Coturnix japonica: one gene and its partners. The protein of the gene in region 5 interacts with the protein of the main gene of each other region in a pairwise test. Links are inferred from orthologs where the notes say so. Each region holds a gene or a part of one and is shown on either strand. Other genes may lie near its edges. The genes, in order: HPCAL1, STAM2, LASP1, CCNK, ATXN1, SLC51A and YWHAE.

What was found.
Region 1: the proteins of ATXN1 (region 5) and HPCAL1 interact in binary tests that used the Homo sapiens proteins (3 or more experiments, as listed by UniProt). The link is inferred for Coturnix japonica from reciprocal best matches to the Homo sapiens genes ATXN1 and HPCAL1.
Region 2: the proteins of ATXN1 (region 5) and STAM2 interact in binary tests that used the Homo sapiens proteins (3 or more experiments, as listed by UniProt). The link is inferred for Coturnix japonica from reciprocal best matches to the Homo sapiens genes ATXN1 and STAM2.
Region 3: the proteins of ATXN1 (region 5) and LASP1 interact in binary tests that used the Homo sapiens proteins (3 or more experiments, as listed by UniProt). The link is inferred for Coturnix japonica from reciprocal best matches to the Homo sapiens genes ATXN1 and LASP1.
Region 4: the proteins of ATXN1 (region 5) and CCNK interact in binary tests that used the Homo sapiens proteins (3 or more experiments, as listed by UniProt). The link is inferred for Coturnix japonica from reciprocal best matches to the Homo sapiens genes ATXN1 and CCNK.
Region 6: the proteins of ATXN1 (region 5) and SLC51A interact in binary tests that used the Homo sapiens proteins (3 or more experiments, as listed by UniProt). The link is inferred for Coturnix japonica from reciprocal best matches to the Homo sapiens genes ATXN1 and SLC51A.
Region 7: the proteins of ATXN1 (region 5) and YWHAE interact in binary tests that used the Homo sapiens proteins (3 or more experiments, as listed by UniProt). The link is inferred for Coturnix japonica from reciprocal best matches to the Homo sapiens genes ATXN1 and YWHAE.

The regions. Positions count from the first base shown.
Region 1 is NC_029518.1:88,237,448-88,241,504, forward strand, and holds the start of HPCAL1 (hippocalcin-like protein 1), read left to right. Parts: upstream 1-1,257; 5' UTR 1,258-1,489; intron 1,490-4,057. UniProt on the Homo sapiens protein: May be involved in the calcium-dependent regulation of rhodopsin phosphorylation.
Region 2 is NC_029522.1:30,549,718-30,553,710, forward strand, and holds the start of STAM2 (signal transducing adapter molecule 2), read left to right. Parts: upstream 1-1,193; 5' UTR 1,194-1,321; coding exon 1,322-1,361; intron 1,362-3,993.
Region 3 is NC_029542.1:3,769,946-3,773,412, forward strand, and holds the end of LASP1 (LIM and SH3 domain protein 1), read left to right. Parts: intron 1-271; coding exon 272-422; intron 423-498; coding exon 499-593; intron 594-1,180; coding exon 1,181-1,354; 3' UTR 1,355-2,967; downstream 2,968-3,467. UniProt on the Homo sapiens protein: Plays an important role in the regulation of dynamic actin-based, cytoskeletal activities.
Region 4 is NC_029520.1:43,658,512-43,662,744, forward strand, and holds the start of CCNK (cyclin-K), read left to right. Parts: upstream 1-1,433; 5' UTR 1,434-1,568; intron 1,569-2,647; exon of another isoform or gene 2,648-2,666; intron 2,667-2,855; 5' UTR 2,856-2,917; coding exon 2,918-3,114; intron 3,115-4,043; coding exon 4,044-4,125; intron 4,126-4,233. UniProt on the Homo sapiens protein: Regulatory subunit of cyclin-dependent kinases that mediates activation of target kinases.
Region 5 is NC_029517.1:67,425,141-67,428,640, forward strand, and holds part of ATXN1 (ataxin-1), read left to right. Parts: intron 1-1,617; coding exon 1,618-2,148; 3' UTR 2,149-3,500. UniProt on the Homo sapiens protein: Chromatin-binding factor that repress Notch signaling in the absence of Notch intracellular domain by acting as a CBF1 corepressor. Binds to the HEY promoter and might assist, along with NCOR2, RBPJ-mediated repression. Binds RNA in vitro.
Region 6 is NC_029524.1:12,997,857-13,002,054, reverse strand, and holds SLC51A (organic solute transporter subunit alpha), read left to right. Parts: upstream 1-1,477; 5' UTR 1,478-1,589; coding exon 1,590-1,624; intron 1,625-1,760; coding exon 1,761-1,855; intron 1,856-2,022; coding exon 2,023-2,177; intron 2,178-2,266; coding exon 2,267-2,340; intron 2,341-2,415; coding exon 2,416-2,574; intron 2,575-2,669; coding exon 2,670-2,781; intron 2,782-2,856; coding exon 2,857-3,003; intron 3,004-3,153; coding exon 3,154-3,259; intron 3,260-3,385; coding exon 3,386-3,522; 3' UTR 3,523-3,698; downstream 3,699-4,198. Other genes in the region: uncharacterized protein LOC107318217, read right to left, coding at 108-217, 304-425, 574-638. UniProt on the Homo sapiens protein: Essential component of the Ost-alpha/Ost-beta complex, a heterodimer that acts as the intestinal basolateral transporter responsible for bile acid export from enterocytes into portal blood. Efficiently transports the major species of bile acids (taurocholate).
Region 7 is NC_029534.1:3,989,822-3,993,833, forward strand, and holds the start of YWHAE (14-3-3 protein epsilon), read left to right. Parts: upstream 1-1,212; 5' UTR 1,213-1,349; coding exon 1,350-1,413; intron 1,414-4,012. UniProt on the Homo sapiens protein: Adapter protein implicated in the regulation of a large spectrum of both general and specialized signaling pathways. Binds to a large number of partners, usually by recognition of a phosphoserine or phosphothreonine motif.

The DNA of each region.
Region 1 (4,057 bases), on a different chromosome or scaffold from region 5:
TGGCATTGCTCACATAGGGTGTGCAGGGAAACAGAGGGGATTACTCATGTGTAACCACCCCCCGCGAGGAGGAGCGGGCTGCAGGCGTGTGAAGTTGGCAGTGACGGTGCTTGCATCTAGTTTTCCATTCTGTGTTCCTGTTTCGAGTCGCTTCTAGTTTTAACAGCACAGGTTCGCCAGCTTCCCAGCTTGTTTTTTGCCTTGGGCCGACCTTTATGTGTATAAACATATAGGTCATTTTTTAAGTCGGCAAAATGGTTCGAGCTGCTCTGAAAGGGGCTGGAGAAATGGGTTACTGCAGAGCAACACTTTCAGCTTTGCATCAGTAGTTACAACGTATTCCAGCTTTGCATCAATAGTTACAACGTATTCCAGCTTTGCCTTAGAGGTGAAATGTGGCTTTTTTTTCCTTCTATTTTTGTTTCTTAATTCAGTTTTCTGCCCTCACAGTACGGAGATAAGCTCTGAAAACCTGCATTTCGGAGGCTTTTTGTGCCTCCCAAGGTTTGTTGCTGAAATCTCTCCAGATCTTTTGTTCCTGGTGTGGCCCTGATTTCAGCTCTGCTCGGTTCTTATCTCGTGCGCTCGCCTGGACTCCTATGAAGGAAGGCAGAGTGAAAGCTGCCGATAAGGCACAACGGGAACGGCGTTCAATTCTCTATACGTTCCTGACTTGAAAGCGCGCCGGGCAGGAGCTAAGGGAAAAACAGAAATCCTAAAGGAAGGATTCATCCCCCGTGCGCTCTGCAGGCCGTAGCTCTTAGCAAGGCTTCCCATGACCTCCCTCGAGAAGCAGCTTAGCACTGAGCCCTCAATCCCCTCCATTTTGTGGCAGGGTGCGCTGTGCGGGCGGCTGTCCCCGGCCAGAGGCAGCGCACCCGTAGGGATCCACCTGCACGGGCACGGATGGGGAGGGGAGGGGCGGTGGGTACGTGCTGGCTGCGGTGGCAGAACTCGTTGTAGGGCCTGCAGCTGAGAGCTTCCTTGTTTGCACTGGGGTTAGAAGAAAAAAAAATAAAAATAAAAAAAAATAAAAAGGAGAAAAAAAAAAGGAAGAAAAAAAAAAGATAAAATATATTAAAAATAATTTTTTAAAAAAAGAAGAGGGAATTAAAAAAGCAAAAAACCAAAGAGATCAACTTTTCCCCGCCGCCCCGCACTTCCTGCCCCGCGGCGGCCGGGCGATACCAAGTGGCTGCGGGCTGTTGGGCGGCCCCGTCGGGGCGCGGCGCTGCGCAGTGCTGCGGGATCCGGCTCCGCTCCGCCCCCCGGCGCCGCCGCTGCCCCGCGGGGAAGTTGCGCTCCGTGCCTCGCTTTCCCGCTCGCTCCCTCGGCGGCGGCTCTTTCCTCCCCCTCCCTCCAATGCGCCTCCCGCTCATTTCCTCTTTTCCTCTCCTCTCGCCGCCGCTCCGCAGGCGTGCGGCTCGCCCGGGCTCCGCCGCGGAGTTGTAGCTGCCGGGAGGCCGCCGCGGGACCGCTCCGCAGCCGGGTGAGGGGCGGCGGGATGCGGGCGGCTCGGGGGGCGGCGGGGGGCAGCGCCGGGGATGCTACGGGGTGGAGGTGCGCGGTGCCGGGAAGAACGGACGCGGGGATCCGTGCGTTCCGCGTGCGTTAAGGGGGATCTTGGAGCCGGCGAAGTTCGCTCCGCACGAGTGGCGTTCGGGGAGTCGGCTCCCCGAAATCTTACTTCCTATTGCCGTCTCTCGAACCGGCCCTGGCTGAACGCTGGCTCCGCTTCGGTCGCCCCTCCCCCGGGGCCGTTCAGCGGCCCGATGTCCGCTCGGTGCCCCGCACCGGGAACGGGGGGGAGCGGCGGCCGCAGCGGGCGGGGAAGTTTGGGCTTAGTTTGGGAGAAGGCGGCTGTGTAGTTTGTGTGCGTATGAGAAAACGGCGGCTTTATTTCCGCAGGAATAATGCTAGGCGAGCGCTGGAGCTGCAGGCTGTACCGTAGTCCCGTTCACAAATATAAATGTGGCAGAGAGACGGAGTTTTCTTTGCGGGGAAAACAAACGGAGGAGGCAATAATTCCGTCCCCGACACGTTTTCTCAATGGGAGCCGTTTGTTGTGGCTGTGGGTTCAAACGCTCCCGGCTCCTCTCGGCACAGCCCGGCGGCCGTTCGGGCAGCAGCCGCCCTGGGTGGTGCCGGGGATGCTGCGTGTGCCTGCACGGGGACCGCATCGCCGCCGGTGCTGAGCCCCGGGGCCCTTCCCCGCACGCGAGCGGATCGCACGGCAGCTGCGAGCCTCGGCTGTCATTAGGGAAAGGCACTTTGTGCTCATCTCTGCCTACGCGAGATGGGGAGATGCCGGCCGGCAGCGCTGCTTCTCTGCCACACCTGCCTTCTTCTTGCCTTCAGTGTGATGGTTATGTCTGGCTTAAAGTGGAGGAAACTGTGTAGGGGAGGGAAAAACAAGAACCGCTCGCCTCTTTAGAATGGATGTCGCAATGCTGGCAGCAGAACTCGTGTGCTGTCAGCTATCCCGGTGAAAAAAGCGCTTTTTGTTGGCGCTGCTTCATCTTCTTGGGGAGCAGTGCTGGGTGGGGAGAGCTGTGCCAGCTGCAGAGGCTTTCTATGTTACAGCTGGATGCAGGGCTGGCATTGGGCATAAGGGACGGGCACAGGCAGCTGGTTTGGGCTGAGCAAGTCAGCTTAGGGACTGTGGCTCTGCAGAAGAAAAAAAAAACCATAAAAACAAAACCCAAAGAAATCCGACATGATCTGTGATTCGGAATGGTTGCGATTCAAAAAGATTCGTGCAGCATCATTTGTTGTATTTTTGAAGCCGTGCAAATAGTTTTTGATGTATTGATTACCTTGATTTGAGAGGGATGGGAATGCTGGTAGACGAAGTGGGCAGTCTGAGTTGGAATTCTCTATAGTGTAGGGATTTTTCTTGCTTTTGGTGATACGAGACTGTGAGGAATGAGACTGTGCTCTGTGTGTGTGTGAGATGCACTGATGCTCGTGGGAAGGGGATCTCTCGCTTGCAGAGCTGCTGCTCCTTCCTTCAAACCTGACTCCTAGGACAGCTTCAGTAACAAATGCTATACGTTTTCCAGCGAGTGGAACAAAAACTGACCATTTCTTTTCTGAAATGAGCTCTTTCCCTTGTTCCTCCTGTGCTTTCCATAGTGGTTGTATGTGGGATCGGTTTCTTGTGGAAATCCAGTGCCAATGGCTGGGAGACCCATAGGATGGGCTGCGCAATGAACGATACATTACCTTGCGCTGTCTGTGCTACAATTAGAAGGCAGGAGCCTGGAGGCTGCATCCAGCTCGTAATGTGAGAAAGACTGCACGTCTCCTGGGCTGCATCGCACAACATGTGCCACTGGCAGTAAGAGATGCTGCTTGTAACTAGGGGGTTCAGGTGAATAACCTGTCCAACCCAACCAGCTTTTCTCTTCTCTTGCGCTCTCAAATGTCTTTCCTGATGACTGAACTACCTGTATTGAGCAATGCAATCTACTTGGTATCTGTCTGGCAAAAAAGCAGAACCAAAAGCTGGGCACAGCTATAGTTACGTACAGCTAATGCATCCTCCTTTGAGACCTGCCAGTTTTGTTGATGACATCTACAATCACTGCTAGGATTTCAGTGGCTGTGATCTTAACCTCATCAGAAAGGTGTCTGGCTGATGGTAAACCTTCAAAACTCCAGCTGGGTTGGAAGGTTTGGCTGGTAGGGACAGCTGGAGACCTCAAGGGCAGGAGGCTGAGTCCCAAGAGGCTGCTTTGGCCTCAGAGATGCTTGCTAGAAATGAGGCATACCGAGATCCTGATGCTTGTGCCAGGAGGGTTGGCTAAGCTGAAGCAGCTGGCTTTGCAATTAGATTGAATTTCTGTTTCAGACAATGTGTTTATCGTAAGGAATTAACCAGCGTGCTAGTCAGAGTGGCAGAGGTGTTTGTTTCCAGTTCTCCAACCATGCAGAGTACGAGCATTGGGATGCGAGTGTGCACACGTGTGTGCTGGTATGCAAATACCAAACGTGTGTTTTGAAGGAATAATGAACCTTGCTCCTGGCTATCCCCACTCTGCCCACTGACCACATC
Region 2 (3,993 bases), on a different chromosome or scaffold from region 5:
CTCAAGGATCATGTAGTTCCAACCCCCCTGCCTGACAGGGCCACCAAATATACACATTTACTAGATCAGGTTGCCCAGGAGACCCCATAGACCCCATAGAGACCCCATAGACCCCATAGACCCCATAGACCCCATAGAGACCCCATAGACCCCATAGAGACCCCATAGATCAGGTTGCCCAGGGCCCCATCCAAACTGGTCTTGAACACCTCCAAGGACGGGGCATCCACAACCTCCCTGGGCAGCCTGTTCCAGGGCCTAACCACCAATTGATTCGTCCTGTCTTTTTAAGGCAATCAAACAAATTAATGACGTTTTGACTCCGCTTGATTCACTACGTGAAATCATCAGTTTCGACTGAATTCGTAAATTTAAGGTCGAAGGAAAAACACTCCGTTTTGTCATCAAAATCCTCCAAAGTGGGAGAGCGGTGCCACCTGCAGACTGCTCCAACACAGCCACCAGCACAACGGGAGCTCCGTCCCACACCGCAGCCCGTGAGTCATTAAGCTGCTATAGAGGCAGCCACAGAGCCAGCAAAGCTAGAGGGCATTTGATAATTAGCCCGATGTGGTTAGAAATAAACGCAAACTGCCTTCATTTGTCAAGAAACGTCCGTGTGTGCTTCAAGTTAGACTCCATTTCTCATATACAATCCAGAAGTCCTTGAAAGTATTCACAGAATCACAGAATGAGCCGGGTTGGAAGGGACCTCAGGGATCATGTAGTTCCAACCCCCCTGCCTGGCAGGGCCACCAAACATACACCTTTACTAGATCAGGTTGCCCAGGAGACCCCATAGATCCCATAGAGACCCCATAGACCCCATAGATCCCATAGAGACTCCATAGACCCCATAGATCCCCATAGAGACCCCATAGATCAGGTTGTGCCCATGGCCCCGTCCAACCTGGCCTTGAACACCTCCAAGGACGGGGCATCCACAACCTCCCTGTGCAGCCTGTTCCAGTTCCTAACCACTCTCCTAGTGAAGAACTTCCCCCTAACATCCAACCTAAATCTTCCCTCTTTTAACTTAAAACCATCTCCCCGTGTCCTGCTATTGTCAGCCCTTTCGACAACCCAGTTACAGGGGGATGAGAAGTGAACATCACACACACCCCTCTCTCCTCCCGTCCCGCCTCAACATGGCTCCTCCCAGCCGTGACGAAGGGCCGTGGCCGAGGCGCCGAGGTGCGGGGCCCGCCCAAACCCCGCGAGGTCCCCGGGCTGCCCCGGCCGGTGCCTGATTCTCCCCGCCGCATTCGGCTTTGGGGCCCGGTGTGAGGGGCCGGAGCGGGGCCGGGCGGCCGCCGTGGAGATGCCGCTGTTCGCGTCCAACCCCTTCGAGCAGGACGTGGGTGAGTGAGCGGGGAGCGGTGCGGAGCTCGGCGGGACGCGGCTGGGCTCGGTGCAGCGTTGGGCCTGTGAGGGGTGAGCGGCGGCGATGCCCGGCCGTATCTCGGGTCGGCGGGTCGGGCTGGGATTGTGGAGGCCAAGATCGGCCTTGGTGGTGCCGGCGGCGGGATAGCGCCCACCGGGTGTAAGAATGGACACAGCCCCACTTCGGCCCGAGCCGCCGCTCCGTTCCATTGCAAAACCGGGGGCTGGTGCGGCCGTGACTCAGCCGGGCTGGTCCGGGTCGGGTCGTGATCCAGCGCTGCCCTCGGGGACATCCAGCTTGTGCCGTGTCTTGTTGTTGGCTTTTTGTTCTTTAAAGGCCCGCTGCTGAGCTGCAACACAGCAAAAGCAATTAAAATTTCCCCCGTCCTTGGAGGTGTTCAAGACCAGGTTGGACGGGGCCCTGGGCAACATGATCTAGTAAAGGTGGCCCTGCCAGGCAGGGGGGTTGGAACTACATGATCCTTGAGGTCCCTTCAAACCCGGGTCATTCTGTGATTTCCCAGGGCTTTAGGTACGAGAAGAGTTTTGTCATTGCCGAATCGTGGAACCAGAGGAGTTGGAAGGGATCTTGGAGCTCCTCCAGCCCAGTCCCCTGAGAGCTGGTTCCCCAGAGCTCATTGCAGGTTCCCTAGAGCAGGATTCTGGCCACTGGCAGGAAGAAGTGGTGGCTGTCAGTGCTCACGTTAACACCCCAGTTCCTTGTGGTGAGTGTAAGTCCTGCTCCTCTGCTCTGTGCTGGTGAGGTTTCACCTGGAGTGCTGCGTCCAGATGTGGAGCTCTCGGTACAGGAGGGACATGGAGCTGCTGGAGAGTGTCCAGAGGAGGGCTACAAAAACAGTCCACAGGATGGAATGGAACACTTCTCCTATGAGGACAGGATCAGAGAGCTGGGGCTGTGCAGCCTGGAGAAGACAAGGCTCCGAGGTGACCTGATAATAGTGGCCTCTCAGTGTCTACAGGGGAGCTACAGGAAGGAAGGGGATGGACTCTTTAGCAGGGTCTGTGGTGACAGAACAAGGGGAAATGGCACTGAGCTTGAAAAGGGTAGATTTAGGTTAGATAAAAGCCTTTTACAGTGAGGTTAGTGAGGTACTGGAACAGTGGTGTGGTTGATGCCCCATCCCTGGAGACTGTCAAGGTAAGGCTCAATCAGACCCTGGGCAATCTGACTTAGCTTGGTGCCCCTGTTGGTTGCGAGGGAGCTGGACTAGATGGCCCTCAGAGGTCCCTTCCAACTCTGAGGTTTCACTGTTATCTTCGTGTGCCTTCAAAGTTTGTTTATTGAAGGCTTTGCCTTCAGTTCTCTTTGATGTTGACCTGTGGCTAAAATGAAGTAGCAGCCGCTTAGGCCAGCTGTACTTGTTTCAAAGAACTTGTGTGTGTTCTGTACCTTTCTCATAGCTCTGATGTATTTGCACAAGTGAAGACTTCTTGAACTGGGGACTCACGGCTGTACAAAATCCTTTGTCAAAACTGAAAAGCTGCAACAGCTCTAAAAGCATAGGGCTGCAAAGTGATGGTCAGTGTGCCTCTAGTTTCTTAAACTCTGTATTATACATAGCGAGTAGAACTGCTCACACATGCTGCTATGAAACAAGAGCAGTGGGCTGGGAATTTCATAGTTATTGAGGCTAAATCTCGCAGTGCCTTGCTAGGAAGAATCTACTTTTGTGCCACTAGGAGCTTTTTTTTCTTTCAGCTATTATTACTTAGTAAATCAGACAACACGGAGCAGCAAATAACTGAACACTGTTGTTCTGTACTTTCCCTGGTGGTACTCACCTCAGGCTGCTCATGCTGCTGTCGAGCTTTAACTTTGTGATTCGAGGTTTTATTTTCTCATTCATCTTTTTGATTTATAAATAATAAAGGTGCGTACCACGAGGGCAGTCGAGCTCTGCTGATGTCCTGATGCTACTGGGAAGGAGAGCTCTTCCATCTTCTTGTCCACTCAGGTGCTGTGGGTTGCTCTCTGGGCTGATTCAGTGCATTCTCTTCAGCAGAAAACAGATTGCAGTGGAGTGCTTGGCTGACAGTTGGGATCATCTGTGAAGGCGATGGAGTTTGGAGGCTCGGATCAGCTCATCAGAGGCTGCAAAGTGGCAGTGAGGGGCAGGGCTCCCTGGGAAGGTTGAAGCCCTACTTCTGCTGGCAGCAAGAAATTGGGTTGGTTTGGATATCTGTTCAGGCCATGCCTTCGGTATTGCAGCTTTCTTGGGAGGGGGCCTTTAGAAATTATAGATAAACACAGCTGCAGCTGTTGTTTTCTTAGTTCTGAACTTGTGTTTGCTTTGCAGTAGATCTGCATAGGGTCTTACTTCCTCAGCATTTGCTTTGGTTGCATTGTCTATAGTTGCAGTTCCATGAGATGAACCTATGGGATAGTTTCAGGAGTTCCATTTCTCTCACCTGTGGGTTTTTTAAAGATTCTTATTATTTCGGTAGAGAGAAGTGGTGTTTTTTTTTTTAAATTCTTATTATTTTGGTAGAGAGAGTGCCACGAGACTTGAGTTCTTTAAAGGGTTTGGAACATTTTAATTTCCTATCTAAATCTATTCATCATTAGTTCACACACACTCGCTGTTTTCC
Region 3 (3,467 bases), on a different chromosome or scaffold from region 5:
CCAATGGCAGGGTATTCATTAACAGGAGCAGCTATTAATTTTTACATCACGACCAGGCTTTGAGTTAACCCTTTGCTGCAGTGATTGCATGGTGGGATCACTTAAAGTGCTTCTGCTGTGTGCTCCTGCAGTGCAGGGGGTTGGGGGGCTGCATCTGTGCCTGGAAACCTCACATATCTCCCCCCAGGACCCTGAAGCCGTCCTTCCCCTGGGCACAAGGGGAAGTCAGGCTGCTTGGTCCTCCCCATGTACCTCTTGTCCTCCTCTGTAGATCAAATACCACGAAGAGTTTGAGAGGAGCAGGATGGGCCCCAGCCCCAGTGAGGGCGCAGAGATGGAGCGTAGGAACTCCCAGGAAAGCACCAATTACCGACGACCGGAGCAGCACCAGCCACAGCACCACGTCCAGCCCAGCAACCCGGGTAAGGGCCATCCCAGCACCTGGGGGCTTCCAATGGCCACAGGTCATTGTGTTAATGGTGTATCCTTCTTGCCCAGTGTACCAGCAGCAGCCACCAGCCTCGCAGTCCTATGGCTACAAGGAGCCTGCAGCGCCTGCATCCACACAGCGCAGTGCACCCTCTGCAGCGGGGGTGAGTGTGGGGTCTTTGGGGTCCCTTCAACCCCGAACCGTTCATTGATCCTATGGTCTTTGAAGTCCTGTTCGACCCAAACCATCTTATGGTTCAATGATCTTTGAGGTCTTTTCCAATCCAAACCATGATGTGGTCCTGTGGTCTTTGAGGTCCCTTCCAACCCAACCATTCTATGGTTTAATGATCTTCAAAGCCTCTTCCGACCCAAACCATTCATTGATCCTATGATCTTTGAGGTCCCTCCCAATGCAAACCATTCATTGATCCTATGATCTTTGGGATCCCTTCCAACCCAAACCATTCATTGATCCTATGATCTTCAAGGTCCCTTCCAACCCAACCATCCCATGGCTCTATGATCTCTGAGATCCCTTCCAACCCAAACCATTCATTGATCCTATGATCCTCGAGGTCCCTTCCAGCCCAACCATTCTACGGTTCTACAGTCTTTGAGGTCTTCCCCAACCCAAACCATCTGGTGATCCTGTGATTCTTTGATCCCATGGCTACTGCTGGCACAGCTCTTCTATGGGCTGGGTTCCCCATGGTGGGCTCCGTGCCCTCTGACTTCTCTCTCCTTACAGAAGCGTTTCCGTGCCGTCTACGATTACAACGCAGCCGATGAGGACGAGGTCTCCTTCCAGGATGGTGACACCATCATCAACGTGCAGCAGATCGATGACGGTTGGATGTACGGCACGGTGGAGCGCACGGGTGACACGGGGATGCTGCCCGCCAACTACGTGGAGGCCATCTGAGGGGGTTGGAGCTGAACCCCCCCCCATTCCATAACATGGCCCCAGTGTGCTCGCGTCTCTCTCTCCCCCAGCATCCCTTCCCTCTGCCGGAGCCGTGTCCCGACGTCTCGGTTTCTTTGTGTTTCTGCAGCCACCTCTGGTTTCTCTCGCCAATTGTAGCTTTGTTCTCACTCTGCCGGGACTGAGGGTCTGTCTGCGAGGGATGACGGGGGGCTCTGGGACCAAATGTTTCTCCTTCTGCCTTCCTCCTCCCCTCTGCAGGGGATGGGATGGGGCGCACACACACCAGGCTGCCCCACATCCACCCCCAGCCCCCAGTGAGCTGGGAATGCAAGGGAAGGGAGGAGCAGGATCATTTCCTTAGGACCAAACATCCCACCTCTTGGGGGCAGGGAGGGATGCTGGGGGGGACCAGCTGGCAGCACCTTCCCTGCGCTGATCTGGCTCTGATCTCGTCCCATTGCTTCCCCTGGCTCTCTGTTCACCATTCCTATTTCTACTGCGCTCCCTCAGTCCTCAGTGTTGCAAACCAGAAGGATATTTGTGGTTAAAACCTTTAAAAATATATATCTCTTGGGATTCAGAATGGTTCCAGGAGCAGCTCCTGCTGCTTTTTTGGGGGGGTCCAGCTGCCTCATTCTGCATCCCAGGCTGAGAGGTGCCACCATGCAGGAGCACCTGCTGCCCTGACCTCATGTCCCCCTGCAGCTCCGGTTCTCCCCTTTTGGGTCCTCATCCCTGTGCCTCTATGGGCTGAGTGTGATGTATTTCTCTGCTCTGTTACTGCACTGGGACTGTGCTGGGGGCTGTCCAGAAGTGGGAAGATGGGGGGTTTAAGTACCCTGAGCCCTTTGCCATCCCCCACCTCTCACCCATTGGTCCCCAGCAGTGGTGGCTGCTGATGTGGGATCGCATAGTGGACCAAGATCTCAAAGCACATCTCTGTCCCCTTCCCTTTTAGGCTGGGAAGGTCCCAGAGCTGAAGGTATAACTGGAAGCCTTGCAGCCAGGTGCTCATGTCCCAAAGGACCAAAGTGACCGAGTTCAGACAGCCCTCAGCTCTGCCTGGGGACAATCCCATGGGACGGGGGAGGACCCCATTGGGAAAATCCCCCCCCCTCTCCTGCCTCCATCCCACCAGGGTGGGCTGCATGGGCTGGAGGGTCCACTCGGTGCTACACAGGCAAGGAGGGGAGGGGGCAGAGAGTCCACATCCCTCCCCATAACCCCATCCTTCATCATCCTTGTCTGGGAAATAGTAGAGGGGGGGGATTGTCAATGTGAATAAAGCGTTTTTTAATGGACCAAATCACACAGGTGATCACGTTTTGGTATACAGACCTTTTTTTAATGCTACCTTGGAACCATTGTCCTGAGTCTCTGCTCCCCTTCTCCCCCCCATTTTATTGTGGGAAACAAACCTCTTACTGCTTCATTTCTGCCTTTTTCTCTCGACTTATGCACTTTTTTGCCTTTTTTCATAGCTGAAAAGCACCTGAACCTGTATTTAAAATAAATAAATGAATTAAAAAAAAAAAAAAAAAAACATTAAAAAAAGAAAAAGAAATGGAAAAGCTTCTCGTCACGTGTTAAAATAAACCTCGCCCTTCTCAGCTGCCCTGGTCACGTCTCAGTGCTTAGAAGGTGTTTCCTTTGGATCCACCACTTGGTTGGGGTTTGTCTTCACATTCTCCTTCCTATGGGGCTGAGTCCCCCCCCCCCAACAATCCGTCCTTTGGCCTTTTTAAATCCAACCCTCGAATGGAACAGATTGATCCTCCTTCTTGGTTTCCTCCACAATAAAAGTGTGGTTTCTACCTGCCCGTGGTGCTGGTGTCATTGCAGTGTGCCCGCTGTTCCCTTGTGCCCCTGGGACACAGGGGGGACCTGGAGACATGGGGACCCTGCAGATCCTTGTGTCTGAGTGCAGCCCAAGGGGGGATTCAGCAGCTGCATCCAACCCTGAGCAGGGGGTGAGGGCTTGGAGGTAGGTGGCTCTGCTCGCCCTATTGCCTCTCCCACCTGTGTCTGCTGTTCCCATTCCATCTATGCTCCCTTTGGTGATGCAGACGGACTGAAATGGGTTGAGAACCCAAAAGCAAAGGGAGCTGTA
Region 4 (4,233 bases), on a different chromosome or scaffold from region 5:
GAGTTGAGATGTCAAAGTAACGTTGTTAACACCCATAGAACAGAGGCATCCAAGAAGCATCTGGATAGAGAGCTAGAAGATATGGTTTAGAGGTTTTCTGTAGGTATGGTAAAGGGAGGACGGTTGGACTAGATGATCTTGTAGGTCCTTTTCAACCTTGTGATTTTATGAGGCATCATTTGAAGAGACAGGTTATATATTACATATATATATATATTACACATTCTCAGAAGGGAGACAGAAGTTGCACACAGCTTCAACTCATGAGCAAAATCAAGTTCATAGAAGAGCAGGTACCAGGCTTCTCAGCCCAAACTCTATGCTGCATAGAACAGCTTCCAAAACGAAAGCTGGGATTGTTCTGACAACTCTGTGCTGTGTTTGGGCAGCAAATCAATTGCAAATTGAGGAAGCTGTTCAGAACTAAAGACAACTGCAGACCACAAGCTTCACTTAAGCAACCCGATGAGTGCATGGGCGGGAAGAGGATGAGGAACAGCTGTGCAAAGTTGGGTTTCAGCAGCACCGAGCTGCCCAAAGAGCGACTTGCTTGCAGGCAAACAGCTTAAAGGGGACTCAGAAGTTATTTGACGTTTGACCCAACGCTACGGCCCCCCGCCCCGGATTTAGTGCTGGTGAACGGGAGGGTCAGAGGGAGCGAAAGGAAGGAGCGGGCAGCGTGATGGAAAGGGAAGGGATGACATCACGGGGAAAGCAGCTCCAAGCCGGGCGTCCCGCTCCGGCCTCCGAGGGCCAGGCTGGAAAGAGAGGTTGCACCGGGCTCAGCACAGCCTCATCACAACGGAGGGAGAAACGCGGCGGAGGGAGGAAAGCGAGGGGGCGGCGAGGCCTGGGCCGGAGGAGCGCAGGAAGGGAGGCGGCGGGGAGGGCCGCGGAGGGAAGGGCTCCGGGAACGAGCCCGCCGTGCGGGAGGCCGAAGCCCGAGGGGTCCCGGCACCGCCTGCACTTACCTCCCGCACGGAGCGGCCGCGGCCTCGGCTGCTGGGAGCGGCGCCGGACCCAGCCCGTCCCTCCGCCGGACGCCGCTGCCCGCGGGTGGGAGGCGGAGGGCGAGTGAGGCCCAACCCCGCACGGCCAGCGCACGGCCCCGCCCCCGTGCTGCTATTGGTCAAAGCACGGCCACAAGGCAAGCCCCGCCCCCAGCGGGACGCTCGGCAGCCAATCCGCTGCCTCGCCTGTAGGCACTAAAAAAGGGCATGGCGGCTCCCGCATTGGCTGGGAGAGAGCTCACTCCTTCGGCATCTCATTGGCTTGCGAGGTTTGCAATCTTGTCCTCTAAGCCCTTTGATTGGTCCATTCTAAGGCGAGGGGAGACTGCTCCTCGCGCTTAGCAGCCACTGAAACAGACGGGATTGGTTGCGGGAAGGTTCCGCCGCTTCTCATTGGCCGCCGCTCGGGGCTGGCGCGCTGAGTCCCGGTGACGTTGACGTGACGCCGCAGCGAGCGGACCGACCTGCTTCCCAAGATGGCGGCGCGCAGAGCGCGGGGGCCGCGCTGTCGTTAGAGGCCCGGCGCTCCACAACGCTCCGCTGTCCCACGCGAGGCCTGTGAGTGCGCGGGGAGCTGGGCGGCCTTCTACGGGTGGGGGCCCGCTCCTGAGGCGGGGAGCGGGGGCACCGGGTGTCTGTGTGAGCGGGGGAGGTGGCACGGAGCCGGGTGCGAAGGCCGCTCCCTGAGGGGAGTGCGAGGGAGCCGTGATCGGGGACCCCAGGGCTCCTCGGGGCTGGCGGGGTCCGGAGGGGGCGGCCCCGGGGCGCTGTGTGCCGGGGGGGGGGCGGGGAGAGGCGGTGTCGGGGCTGCGGGGCTCCGCACGCGGAAGTGGCTGTGACAGAAGCGGGCCCGGCTCTTTAAAAAGCTCCTTAAAAGTCGCCGTGGGGAGGAACCGAAACGGCTGCAGAGCCGTAAATGAGGGGGGGAGCCGGACAGAGCTGTAAGCGGCTGTTGGCCTGTGTGTGACAGCGGGCACAGGGCTGTGTCAGCACGGCGAGATGGGGAGGCCCTTGAGTGCAGTGATTGTAGGTGGCACCTGACCAGACAGACCTATCTCAGTTGCCTTGATCTTCATGATCTTTTTAACATGCATCTCTACTCTACTGTTTTTTTCTTAAGTAACTCAAGTGCAGATGATTTAACAAAGGTTTTATCCAAGTGTTGCCATTCTGGTAGTGTTTCCAAGAGACCCAGTAAAGTGCTGACAATAGCAGGACACGGGGAAATGGTTTTAAATTAAAAGAGGGAAGATTTAGGTTGGATGTTAGGGGGAAGTTCTTCTCTAGGAGAGTGGTTAGACCCTGGAACAGGCTGCCCAGGGAGGTTGTGGATGCCCCGTCCTTGGAGGTGTTCAAGACCAGGTTGGACGGGGCCCTGGGCAACCTGATCTAGTAAAGGTGTATGTTTGGTGGCCCTGCCAGGCAGGGGGGTTGGAACTACATGATCCTTGAGGTCCCTTCCAACCCGGGTCATTCTGTGATTCTGTGTTTAAATTCCTTTCAGGCTGACCTAACATATGTGTCCTGGTTTATGAAGAGTGATTTGATTTCATCTCCCTCTTTCAGCTGTTCAAATCTTGCTGCTGCTATCACTAAATTGTTCAGTCTTATTTTATGGACAAAATGGATTAAAGTTGTTCTACAGAAAAGTAGCAGGTGCTTTTGATAAAACGTTGAAGTTTCTCTATCAAAGAATTGCAAAAGTAATCATATATAAATCTAGTCTTTGAATTGTATTTGCATTATGTCAGGAAGATGAAAACGTGGTTAAATATTACTTGTCTGTGAGCATGGAAAAAAGATTCCCCTTCATTTTAACATAAGTTCTTTTTGCTTTTCTTAAAGGTTCCAAAGCTCCTAACTGGAAACTTTTTTGAAGCCATATCAAGCAAGATCAGTTCTAATAAATGAAGGAGAATAAAGAAAACTCCAGCCCTTCTGTAAACTTGGCAAATCTGGACCATACAAAGCCATGCTGGTACTGGGATAAGAAAGATTTGGCACATACACCTTCACAGCTTGAAGGGCTTGATCCAGCCACCGAGGCACGGTACCGCAGGGAGGGAGCCAGGTTCATATTTGATGTGGGAACACGTTTAGGGCTGTATCCTTTAAACTCCTGATAAAGTGTTGATGAACGGGGGTTTTAAGAGTTAAATATTGCAGAATATGTGTAGCTAGTTGTTCTAATGTTTCTTTATCATGAATCAAAAATCTTTCTGAGTGTTACTTGATAGTTTTAGCCATTTGTTGGGTAATCAAGGTGTTTTCTGAGAAGCAAGAGAGTTTAGTTTTGTCAATTATGGATATTCTGGCGGTTACCAGATATGGCCTCTTATATGATTTCTCAAACTTTGAATTTTATGTTTATTTTTCTATATTGTTTAACTTTGGAGATTCCAACCTGTGATCCACCACCCCCCACTTTGTTTTTCTTATAGGGTGGAATCTACAACTTTATGTATGTTGGTAATTTCTCCCCATTGTCTCAACTCATGGATACCACTCAAACTTTTTGCTTGCTATATCCCTGTTACTTCTTTTAATCCCGTGAGTTCTTTGTTTAATAGATCTTGAAGATATAATTTTGCATTTATTCTGGCAAAGAATAGTAGGGAGCCCGTTCATGTTGCAGCTGTGTTTGTAGGTATGAATATTTAGTAACTATTTCCTGCAGTAACAGTTTCATGAGGTGTGATACAAAGCGACACTTTTACTCCTGTTTGTGCCTAATTCTGCTTTTGACCTTCTTGATGATGGTGCTTATCACGCAGATGACCACGCATAGATGTGATATGGGCTTTTCTTACTCCCAGTAAATGCTTTAGGTGTCGGCTGCATCTGGATAGAATTTGCACAATCCTAAGGGGGTGTGGCTTCTGTTTCTCTTTTAATTGCAGTGTTTTTCAGCCAGTCGCTGAGTGGACAGTTCCTTGAGATATTTGATATATCAGAGTGTATCTTTTTCATTGGGTGTGTTTGATTTTACATTTGTTCTGTGACTTTCTTGAAGTTCCTTATCCTGCACCACAGACACTATGATACTTTAGCAACAGGAATAATTTATTTCCATCGGTTTTATATGTTTCATTCCTTCAAACAGTTCCCAAGATATGTAAGTATTTACAATATTGATTACCTAATACTGTGATTACATGAAGGATAGGCTTTCTGAAATGACTACAAGTCGAGGGCATTACTCCTTGCACAGCTCTTGCTGAAT
Region 5 (3,500 bases):
AAGCATGGATGATTCCCAAAGATACACAGCTTTTGGTGGGGTGGGGAAAGCATAAAAAGAAAAAAAATTATTGTAGCAAACAGGAAGGAGATGATAAAGAGGCAAAGTACAGCAATGTAAATGAGAAATCTGTGTCCAGTAGGAAAGCCTACAGCTCTATGTGGACAGAGGGTTCCGTTTAAATCCAGAAGAGATGGTAGTGAGTGTTCCCTCCCCACTCTTCCTCGTCACACCCTTTACTGGGTTGCGTGTCTTTGGAATATGATCTCAAACTCAGGGCAGATGTTTCTGTATTTGCCTGGTCATATAAATTTGTAGCATATATTTATAGATTTCTTAAAGTTTTTTTGTATTTTTTTTTTCCATCAGTGGAATCACCTGTCTCATGAACTGCAGTTGTCTGCTAGGGCATGGTATGGGTTTGACCACTCAAAAGCCATGAGGAATCTTTGGCTTTTGCGATCTGATGGCTCTGCTCTGTGGGACATCCTACATCCAGCCCTCTTGCCAAGGGGGATGATGATCCATCGGGTGAGGTGTGCAGGGAGCTGCCTGGGGTCCTGTTTGCAGGCAGGGTGCTTCTGGGGGAGCAGCAACAGTAGGGAGAGGAGCAGAGCTACCAGTTGTGGCTAACCAGGAGCCCTCAGGATGCGTTAAGCTCTGTCCTGTAGGCCATGAGTCAGAGGAGCCCACATCTACTGTGTGAGCCCATGGACAAACATGGTGCAAAGATCAGCAGGTATTTGAGTGCTGTATCATGTTAGCCCTAGGATCCACCACGAGCACAGTCATAGAGCAGCAGGCACCTGCTGCTGGTCTGCTCTCCTGGATACCACAGCTGCCTGTATGATAATGAGGTATGACCCAGAGCCATGTACATTTTGAAAGTGGGGACTAACAAGGTCAGGCTGAGAAGTGAAATCAAGAATGCTTTTCATAGGTAATAATCAGAGAGGTGGGCTGCTGGAAGAGCAAGGTGAGAAGGGCACAAAATAGCCCAGGCCCATTACTGCTCAGAGTAGGTGGGTTCGTTCCCAATGCTGCTACATACACAGCTCTCTGCTCACACCTGTGGCCTTCCCTTGTAAGTCAACATTTTCAGCCATTTCATGTTGGTAAGTATGCAGCTGCATGGGCAGGGACAGAGAAGGAGAAGTGACGTTCCCATGGTCATTTAGGGAATCACGTGTTATTGCTGGGAATAGAGCCTCTTCCAGCTCAGGGAGCCATCCTCTGTCTGGAACGTATTGGTAGGCATGGACGAGAGGCTGAGGTATCATGAGGGCACGTCAGGGAGTAGAATCTGTTAGCTGCCAAAGCTGTTTTGCCTGCTGGGTCTCTGTGAGCAGCTGGATAGAGGTAAAGATCGATTCCTGTTGAGGTTTTGTGTTAAGTGCTGAGCTCAGAGAGTCTGTTAACACCCGTTTGACAAGGACAAGCCTGAAGTCTGGTGCTCGATGTGCAGATTTCACAGATACCAAATGGCAGCGGCACAATCCCTGCTTGACTCTCGCGAGCGACGACTGCTGGCCGCTGCTCATGTGCACCAAGGCAAAGGGCCTGTCTGACGCTCTCTCCTCTCTCCCTCTCTCTCTGCTGTCTCCTCTCTTTCTGCAGGTCAGCGTGGAGGTCTTGGTAGAATACCCTTTTTTTGTATTTGGACAAGGCTGGTCGTCCTGCTGCCCCGAGAGAACCAGCCAGCTCTTTGATTTGCCATGCTCCAAACTCTCAGTGGGGGACGTCTGCATATCTCTTACGCTCAAGAACCTGAAGAACGGCTCTATTAAAAAGGGCCAGCCCGTGGACTCAGCTAGCATCTTGCTGAAGCATTCAAAGAATGACAGTCTAGCTGCAAGTAGACACAGGTATGCGGAGCAGGAAAATGGGATTAATCAGGGAAGTGCACAGATGTTAGCTGAGAATGGTGAACTGAAGTTTCCGGACAAAATAGGATTGCCTGCAGCACCTTTGCTCACCAAAACAGAACCCAGCAAGCCCCCGGCAACGAGGAAGAGGAGGTGGTCAGCCCCTGAATCGCGGAAACTAGAGAAATCAGAAGAGGAGCCACCTTTGACTCTTCCCAAGCCTTCTTTTATTCCTCAGGAGGTTAAGATTTGCATTGAAGGTCGATCCAATGTAGGAAAGTAAATGTTGTTTGGGGAAAGGAAATTAGGCTATCCCTTGTCATTTTTATCCAGATTACTGTACTGTAGACTAAATAACCCAGTATTTACATGTTATCATCTTATTTTAGGTTTATGTTATAACCTTGTTGTTATAGTTGCAGCTGGTATTATGCAGGAGACTGGTGCATATGTTTTTCCACAAGTGTTTGTCAGTGACTAGGTTTCCTGAGAGCTACAGAAGGGGCAGTATCTGCTTCACACACCCTTAGTGGAAATGAATGTGTTGTCATGGCTCCTGTTTTCTAACACCTCGTGTAGGACAGGGTCCAGCTGTGATTTTGGTTTGTTTTCTTTATGTTTGTTTTTTTTGTTTGTTTGTTTCTTTGTTTTTAGGTTTTTTGTTTTGTTTTTTTCCTTGTTTTGGTTCCTGTTCCAGTTTTTGGGGGGAGGTGAGGAGAAGGGAACTGTAGCAGAGGTGTGTGTCACGTGTGGTGTGCGTGTCATGCATGGTGTGCATGTGTCACGCATGGTGTGCATGTGTGCGCGTGCCCGGCCTGAGGCAGCCCTGTGGCCATGGGGGCTTGTGAGGAGGTTTTCTCACTCCAGGTGAATGCGGAGGACGCAGCCCCACAGATGTTACCAAAAAGGATCAGATGCTTTCTGACCTTGTCAACAATAAGCCAACTCTTACTCAAGATTCACAGTATATATATGTACACATATATGTGCATGTATATATATATGTATATATATATATATATATATTTGTGTGTGTGTGTGTGTATCTGTACATATATATTTCCCCCATGGGGTCCGACTGCACTGATTTTTATTCGTGAAGCAAGTGCCACACCAACCTTTCCTTCTGCTTGCTCGTGCAGTTCGTTGCCAGAGGCCATGCACACACACACATACATACACACACGGGGTGATTGTTCTGCACCATTCACCCTGTTGGGCTGCCTGGTGGCGTGGGTGTGCACAAGTGTGCGTGGGTGTGTGTGGGTGTGCAGGGAGCCTCAGGCTGGGTGACATGCCCTCCTCAGGCTCACTCCTGTTTCTGTGCAGTGTTAGACACATCGGTCAGGTTATGCCATGGACATTTGCTTCCACGAGGGAGATGCATACTGCCCCTTTGAGATCACAGGCACACGTCATTTGCAGTTAGGTTGCAGATCTCGGTCTTTAACTCTATAGTACTGTTTTTGGTTCATGATTATGGACAACTGGTGCCACTTTTTTCAAGTTTCAGTGTGACACAGGAACCCGATGTTGAAGAGGAACGTAGAATGTCTTTAAGCACTTAAAATGCTGTTCACACTTTCTGGCTGAGCATCCTGGTCTACCGCTCAGTGCGTACTGTATCTCACTTTG
Region 6 (4,198 bases), on a different chromosome or scaffold from region 5:
AGCACTGCACACTTGGGTGTGCACATGAAGGGTGTAGAGTGTAGGGATAGGGGATACAATCAGTGGGGCTGCGATGTGCTGGAGGTGTGCAGCACTGTGTCCCTTACCCTCCTGCAGCTATCACAGCAGGCAGAAAGAATTTGCTGCCAGCAGGAATGGTGGCAGTGCTGCTGCTTCACTGTGCTGCTCCGCTTCAGTGCGTCCCTCTGGGTCCTTCCTGCAGGTGACACAACAGGGACCCCGCTCCCTACAGACCTGGCGCCATCCCCTGCTGTCCCACCCCCCTGTATCCGCACATCCCACCTGCCTGGAGGAACTCCAGGTTGGAGAAGCTGAATGCCAGCAGGCTGGTGGCAGCCTGGATCAGGAGGATGGTTGTGAGGAAGGGGCCCAGCGGCAAGCTGTGCAGGGCCAGCCAGCTGTACCTGAGGGATGGAATGGGGCACGGAGCTGTGGTCGGGGAGCAGGGTGAGCACAGAGCTGATGCTCGACTCCAGCGTCCCTGAGATGCTGGTGGAAAAGGGCAGCTCTGTCACCCCATGTTGCCATGGGTGCTACTGTAGAGTGGCTTACGGGTACGAGACCAGCAGGTGCAGGACCAGGAGGATGCTGAAAGGAAAGGAATCAAAAAGCTCCATGGTGAGCAGAGCTGCTGCAGGACCCTCACAGGCTGGACCGCATCCCCTTCCCTGGCAGCTGTGGCACAACAATCTGAGTTCCACTCCTATAGCAACTACTGCATCCCCACTACTCCCCATGGCAACTGCAGCTTCTTGTTCCCAGAGCGCTGAGGACTCTCTTGGGGTGTGAGTGCCACTCTGAACTTTGCAGGAGTCCACAGGAGCTCATTTTCCTTGGGGTGCTGTGAGGGCACCAGCAGTGTGATCATACCCACTGCCCAGCTGGGTGCTACAGTCCATTCAGGGCAGGGACACGCTGAATCCCAATTCCCAGCTCAGAGTTCTCCCTCCCCCAGGCCAGAGCTTTGTCAGTGAAGCTGGTGCTGGTACCAGCCCTGCCCTCTAGCGTCATGGTGCCTGGCTAACTGCTGGGAGCTGAGTTCTTGCAACCTTCTCACCTGCTGTCCTGTGCCAGGCCACAGGAGTGCCAGGAAGGACAGACAGACACTCAGCCATGTGCCAGGCTTCCCGTGGCCTAGCAGGCAGAGTGGTACCAGGGTGGCAGGCAGTGCTACACCAGGTCTTGCCCCACTCATCCTGTACCCCAGCAGGAGGACACATGGGGACCAGGGCACCCAGGCACCACGGGGTGCCCATCCGAGCCCATCTGTGGGGTGTCCAGCAGTGTGGGCAGGCAGAGCCCAGCACACGGAGCTCTGGGGACATGCAGGCATGATGGCACAAGTCACAGACACTCCTCCCAGGTCAATAACCGTGTGGCTGAGGCACTTTGTGGGGCTGGGACACAGCCAGGTCCTCACCAATGAGAGCCCAGAGCTGGTTAAACTTGAACAAGACACCAAAGCCTCCCCGCGGTCCCTGCCCTCGGGACTCTGACCCAGTGTGAGGACAGCACAGGGAAACCAAGGCAGGCAGTGACAAGCAGCTGGTGGGACAGAGCTGGGCAGGATGGACCCCACCATGGAGCTGGCAGATGACCCCAGGTAGGTGCCAGGACCCCCATGCTGCTGGGTCTCTTTGCAGTGGGATTTTGGGTTATGTAGAGGAAGAGGTGATGTGAGGACCCCTTGGTGTCTCCATTTCCCTGCTTGCTCTCAGCAGCTCCCCCCTTCTCCGTAGGTTCCCTCGGCCGTTGGTGGAGATGCTGATGCTGAATTTCAGCGTGCCGGCCGCGTGCTTCTCCCTGCCACCCACCTCCAGGCAGCTGCTACAGCGTAAGTGTGGGGAGGGGGCAGCGTGGGGGGATTCTCCTCTGTCCCCTGTGGGCGCAGGGTGGGGATGGAGGGGGAAGGCAGAAGGCTGCTGCTTGGGTCTCAGCCCCCCACCCCAGGCAGGGGGGAACAGGCCTCAATAAAACCAGGTTTTTGCCCCTCCCTGGCAGAGCTGGACATGGTCCAACTCTCCATCACGGGCCTGGCCACCATTCTGACACTGGTGTCAGTCGTCATCTATGTGGAAGAAGCCCTCTACATCTACCGCAAGACCAGCTGCCCCATCAAGATGAAGACTCTCTGCTGGAGCAGCTCAGCCCCCACGGTGAGCTGAGCCTGGGGGCAGCACCAGGGGGTCCAAACCCCCCCATGGGGATGGGGGACAGCATTGTGCCCAGCCCGTGTCTCCTCCAGGTGGTGGCTGTGTTCAGCTGCTTCGGGCTGTGGATCCCACGCTCCATGATGGTGGTGGAGATGGCCACCACAATGTGAGTATGACCTGAGCTGGGACAGCGGGACATGGCTGCTTCTGTCACCTTCCTCTTCCTCCTTCTCCTCCCCAGGTATTTTGCCATCTGTTTCTACGTCATGATGATGGTTATGGTGGAAGGCTTTGGGGGAAAGGAGGCCGTGCTCAGCATCCTGAAGGACGTGCCCATGGTGGTGAGCACCGGGCCCTGCTGCTGCTGCTGCCCCTGCCTGCCCCGCATCACCATGAGCAGGTGAGGGAGGGATGGGGCAGGGCTGTCCCTCTATAGGACGTCAGGGTGAAACAAATCCTGGGCAGGGGGATGCAACCAACTTCTCCCTGCACCAGGAGGAAGCTTCGTCTACTGATGTTGGGGACCTTCCAGTATGCCTTCCTGAGAACAGCTGCTGTCTTCCTGGGGCTGGTCCTGTACACTGATGGGAACTACAACCCTGCTGATGTGAGTGCTGTGGTGGAGGACAGGCAGGGGCACATGTGACAGGGCAGCCCTGCCAGCTACTGTTCTTCCCCACAGATCTCAGCAGAGAGTGTGGCACTCTGGATCAACACCGTCATTGGAGCCTCCACCCTCTTTGGGCTGTGGGCGCTGGGTATCCTCTTCCGGCAGGCACGACTGCATCTAAAGGAGCAGAACATGCAGGCCAAGTTCACCTGCTTCCAGGTAAGCCAGCAGCTTAGTGAGCACCTGAAGCACAAGGAGAAGGTCTTCATGGCCAGAGCGAGGCAGTGGGACAAGGTGGAAAGCCAGCCTGGTTATTGAGCACAGTGGCTGCTTGTGGGTCCCTGTGACGGGTGGTGCTGTTGGTTGCAGGTTCTCCTGGTGCTGACAGCACTGCAACCCGCCATCTTCAGCATCCTGGCCAACAACGGTAACATCGCCTGCTCACCACCCTTCTCCTCCAAGGCCAGGTCACAGCGTGAGTTGGGAGCTCAGGGCGAGGGGGGGCTGGCTCCTGGCTAAGCACCTCCAGCACACAGCAGGGAGGGGATGGATGTGGTTGGTGAAAGCACCTTCAAATAATCTCTCTGTTTCCTGCTCTCAGAGATGAACATGCAGCTGTTAATCCCGCAGACCTTCATCCTGGCGGTGGTGGCACGGATGTATTACCGCAAGCAGGATGACAAACCGGGCTACCAGCCTGTCAGCATCGCAGCCACCAGCAGCAATGCCAAGGTGTGAGCAGAGGAAGGTGCAAGGGTAGAGCAAGTCCAGGGTGCTGCCAGCCCAGCAGAATGCTTTGAGCCTGCTGGGAGCAAAGGCAGCGGAGGGAGAAAGGACATTTTGGGATGTGGAAGCAGCCCTCCAGCCTGGGGGTGGTGTTCCTGACTGGCACTGAATAAAGATAACTTTGTACATGTGTTGTGTTGGTGGCTGGGATTGGACCTCCTCCTCCTTGTTGGGCAGGACACGATTTCAGGTGGGAATGTGGAAGATCCTCAAAGCCTCGTCTCCTTCCAACCATGGCTAAAATGGCAGATGAGGAGAACACATCTGTGCTAGAACAGCAGAAGGGATGAGGCACACAGAGAGTAAAACGATTTTGCATTTATTTGGCTAATTGTAAATGCCAAAAAAAACCAACTAACTCCAGCACAAGTAAGACACAGAGTTGTGCACATAGGGCCATACAGAGAAACCAGCACAGTGGACACTGACTGGGAAGAGCCAGCCTGAGGCAGCTGAGGCTGGAGGGGACAGCACAACCAGTTGATGCACTATGGTCAGAGATGGGCAGATCACCAGTGCTAAGAGCAGAGCCTGGCATGAGCTGCACATCAGTGCTCTCACAGGGCCCCCTCCTGACCTCCCAACACAACACACAGGGGAAGGGAGGAGTGGGAAAGGCAGAATTAGT
Region 7 (4,012 bases), on a different chromosome or scaffold from region 5:
GCAGTAGCAGCCCAATCAATGTGTGTAAATGTTGTGTGTGCAAAGGACAAGGCAAGGATTGCATCAGGAAATTGAGGATCAAGTAAAGTCCCTACGTTGAGGCAAATCGAATTGATCATGTACAGTCCCACACAAAACTAAGTCTTAGCTGCTGAGAAAATAGGCTTTTTTAGTTAAGATTTATGAAGGGCGGAGGTGATTGTAAGTTGCGCAGTGTTACACAAATACACTGACCGTAATCCGCTGGGATTCTATATAATTCTATAAAAATCATAGTAATATTTTAGGTACATCCATAAGCAAACCATCCAATTGTCAGTTTTACACAACCTTAAGTCTTCGTTAACTTGAAATAATGCAATGAAATGAATCAGGTGACAATAAACCGATGGTTAAACCTGTGCCTCTGATCAGTGGGCACAACATAGAACACAAATGGATACTCAGCTCTGTCCAAGAGGTGCCGGGGATGCTCTGTCTCTGCTGCGTATCAGAAGCTGCAATGGCCTCTGTGGGCTCTCACACCTCAGGAAGGCCAAGAGCCTTCAGCCCATCCAAGGAGACACTGGAAAAAGAGATACGAGCCTGTTCATAGCGGATACGAGCTCATACCCACCCTGAACAAACCTCACGTTTATCTTAGCCAAACAGAATCACTTTTCTTTTGCTTTTTCTTTGATTTGGGAAACGGGGGGGTGTTATCATAACGCTTTCAATGCCTGCTCGGTGGATTTCAGGCCTCTGTGAGGAATTGATGCCACATTCCTCTCACGTTCCAGTTCCATCCCCTCAGTGATCAGTCAGTGATGGCAGCCACAGCGCTCCCCCATCACACAGCCTGCCTTTCTACAGGCATTCCTATACCCGGGACGAATACAACAGGGAAAGGCCGCTGTACTTTGAATACACCAGATCTGAGAGGAAGGAGAAAAGCGCAGCCAGACTGAGGGAAAACCCGGCCACTCCGATCCTCCCCGCACCCCCACCCGGCTCTTTAACACACTAGCAGGGCTCCCTACCAGCACCCCCAACCCCAACCGGCTCCGCACCGCGGCCCTCGGCCTCCACATCGCGGCGGATCCGCATCCTCACGGCCGCCGCTCAACAGCAAAATGGCGGCCGGTCCCAACCCCGGCCCGGCCACATCCCGCCCGTTACTAAGGAGCCGCCGTTGCTATGGGATGCCGTAGGGCGCATGCGCGCGGTTGTGGAAGTGCCCGGATGCAGCGGGAGGAGGTGCTGCCGCCATATTTGCCCGGAGAGCAGCGAGCTGGTAGCTGCTGAGCCCCACAGACCCATCGGCTTCCATCCGCCCCGTACGCTCCCCGACGCCGCTCCGCCTGCAGGACATGGACGATCGGGAGGATCTCGTCTATCAGGCTAAGTTGGCCGAACAGGCTGAACGTTACGATGGTGAGCGGCGGCCGGGAAGGCCGTGAGAGGCCAAGGGGAGAGAGAGGGAGGGAGCGGCCACAAAATGGCGGCTGGGCGGGGGTGGGGGGGGCAGGGGCGGAGGAGGGGGGCGCCGACAAAATGGCGCCGGGGAGCGCCCCGAGGGCCGCGGAACCGGGGATGGGGGGCCCTGAATGAGCGGGCGGCCTCGGCCTGGGCGTGGCCCGCTACGGGGGGCGGTGGCGGCAGAAGCCGGGAAGAAAATGGCGGCCGCGAAGGGCGAGTCCTGGGGGGGGGAAGGGGGGAGCCGCCCCCGCCTCGGGGGTCCGACAAAGAGACCCCACTGCTTAGCGCCGTGCGGGCGGCTGTGGCGGTGCCGGGCGGCTCCTTAGTGCTGCGTTTCCCTCCGGCCGCGGCCCCGCGGAGCTCGGCGCTGTGGGGCTGAGCTCGGTTCGCCGCAGACAACGCCCCGCTCTCCGGAAGGTTCGTGCCGGCCCCTCGGGGGGGGCGATGCCGGAGGGACCCGAGGGAGCGGGATGGCGCTTCTCTTTCTCTCCCTTCGCTTTCCATTGGAGGCACGGCTCTCATTCACCCTGCAGCCGTCTGGCACTGCCCGTCATTACCTGAAGGAAGAACACATGCTTTCATTACACGCTGGAAATCATTACAGACCATTTTACGTTCCCACTTTGTCTCTTTTTTCCTCCCCCCCCCCTTCCCTCATTTGCCTTATGAAATTAGAGCTCTGATCCCTTTATATCTTGGGGAAAAAAAAGGGGCGGTGGGGAGGAGCTGGCAGCCCTGGATGGTATTTCTTGCCCCCAAAATGTCTGCCGTGTGACTGTTCCCTTCAAGGTGCTTTTCTTGCCTATAGAAGAAAGGGCCTTTAATTTTCTCAATGGGGTTGTTATTTCTGCCCTTAGATCTGTATTTCAAGTGGAAGAAAAGCCGGTGTGTGTGTAAAGGGTGGGAGTACAGTTAGGTTTCATTTAGAAGTGGGGAGATGCTTTGGGTCCTTTAATTGATCAGGGTTTTCACAGAGCAGGGAAGTCAGCTGGTGAGAATTAGGCTTTGTTCTCTGAGTTACTGCTTAGAAAACTTCTGATAATGGGATTCCAAAGCTGAGAAATACACCTTTTGGGGGAGGAAAACAGAAATGAAGGAGTAATTAAGACCATCTGCAGTGAATGTTCTGGTAGAAATGGGGTAGGAATAAGAATCGTACTGAGTGACAGCAGCCAGATAGTCTCCTTGTTGTAACTGCAGGGACTTGGGGGAAAAAACGTCCCCCAAAGCAGGTTTTGTGGGGTGACTTGTGCCCACCCCTTCAAGTAAGATGCAGCTCATAGTAGGAGAGCAACATCTGTGGGTACAAGTGGTTGAGGAGGGGGGTGTAGATTTGGGGTATCTTGGTTTTTTTGTCTCCTTAGGAGTGTGGGATGGGAAGGTGCATTGTTCTCATTGCTGCCATCTTCCACAAAGACCACAAATCCAGCAGTATTGGGGTGTGTGTGGGGGAGGGTTTGTTCACCTGGTACAGATGAGCCTCAGCGCAGGGGTGAGCTGTGGTTTGAATGGAACTCCAGGCTAAGGATGTTTGGGGGATACATCATCCTTTTGAGGTATAACTGATGCTTTCCTAGCTGAATGGGAAGTCACTTCTTTGGAAAGCAATCAGACCTTCCCTTATTGTAGAAATCTGCAGCACAGCCTGATTTCCTTATCAAAAAAGGTTGATAGAGATAGAAATGCCACACAAAGGCAGTCAGTGGGCTTCCAATCCCAATGCTCCAGTGGGTGTTTGAAGAATGAATTGCCTAGGTCAGAATTCAGAGGGCTTCTGTGTGGCTTCTGAGTGTTAATAAGAACACCCTCACTGAGGAGGTAATGATAATCATAGTGTTCTTATCTTTAAAGCAATATTGTGGGATTCAGACTTGCAGAATTTGTTGGCATGGAGTTGAATCAACAAATTTAAGGTGCATCCCTTAACTCTCCATGTTGTTCTATAGCTTTCCGCCTTTTTTTCTGTCCCTGGCCTGGAAAAATAAATACTGTAGGTACAGGTTTAGCATCTAATTCTGTATCGTTCAGTTGGAAGCAATTAAAAAGTGAAGAGTATATTCTCATTTACATGAAAGTAAGTGCTGAGGCTGCTCAATGTGAATGAAATGCTGTGGGGAAGTGAAGTGATGCTTAGTTTCATTCTTTAGTTTTACCTTTGAGATACATGATGGTGAGGTAATAGTGAATAACTTCCAGATACTACTGATGGTAAGTACTGGCTACAAATGTGCTGGAATAGAAACCTGTTCTGTGACTTGAATATGAATGTAAAATGACAATTTTTGATGTTTAATGTTAGGATAGCGTTACGTTCTGCCACATCTTTCTCAGTGAGGCTCAGCGTGCTGTGTGGTTAGAACAGCCATGGTCCATGGCATTTGAGGCAGCTTCTAAGGTAGGAATCTAATAAGTTTTTTGGGTTTTTTTTAGTTACATGACCCACTTAAGTTCTGAAGCCTTGCAGGCTGTGCCTGCCAGTTGTTGGGAATGTAGTTCTGTCTCTGTACAGCCCTTGGTGTATCGGCCCAGATTAAGAGGACAACTTTCTTAGGTG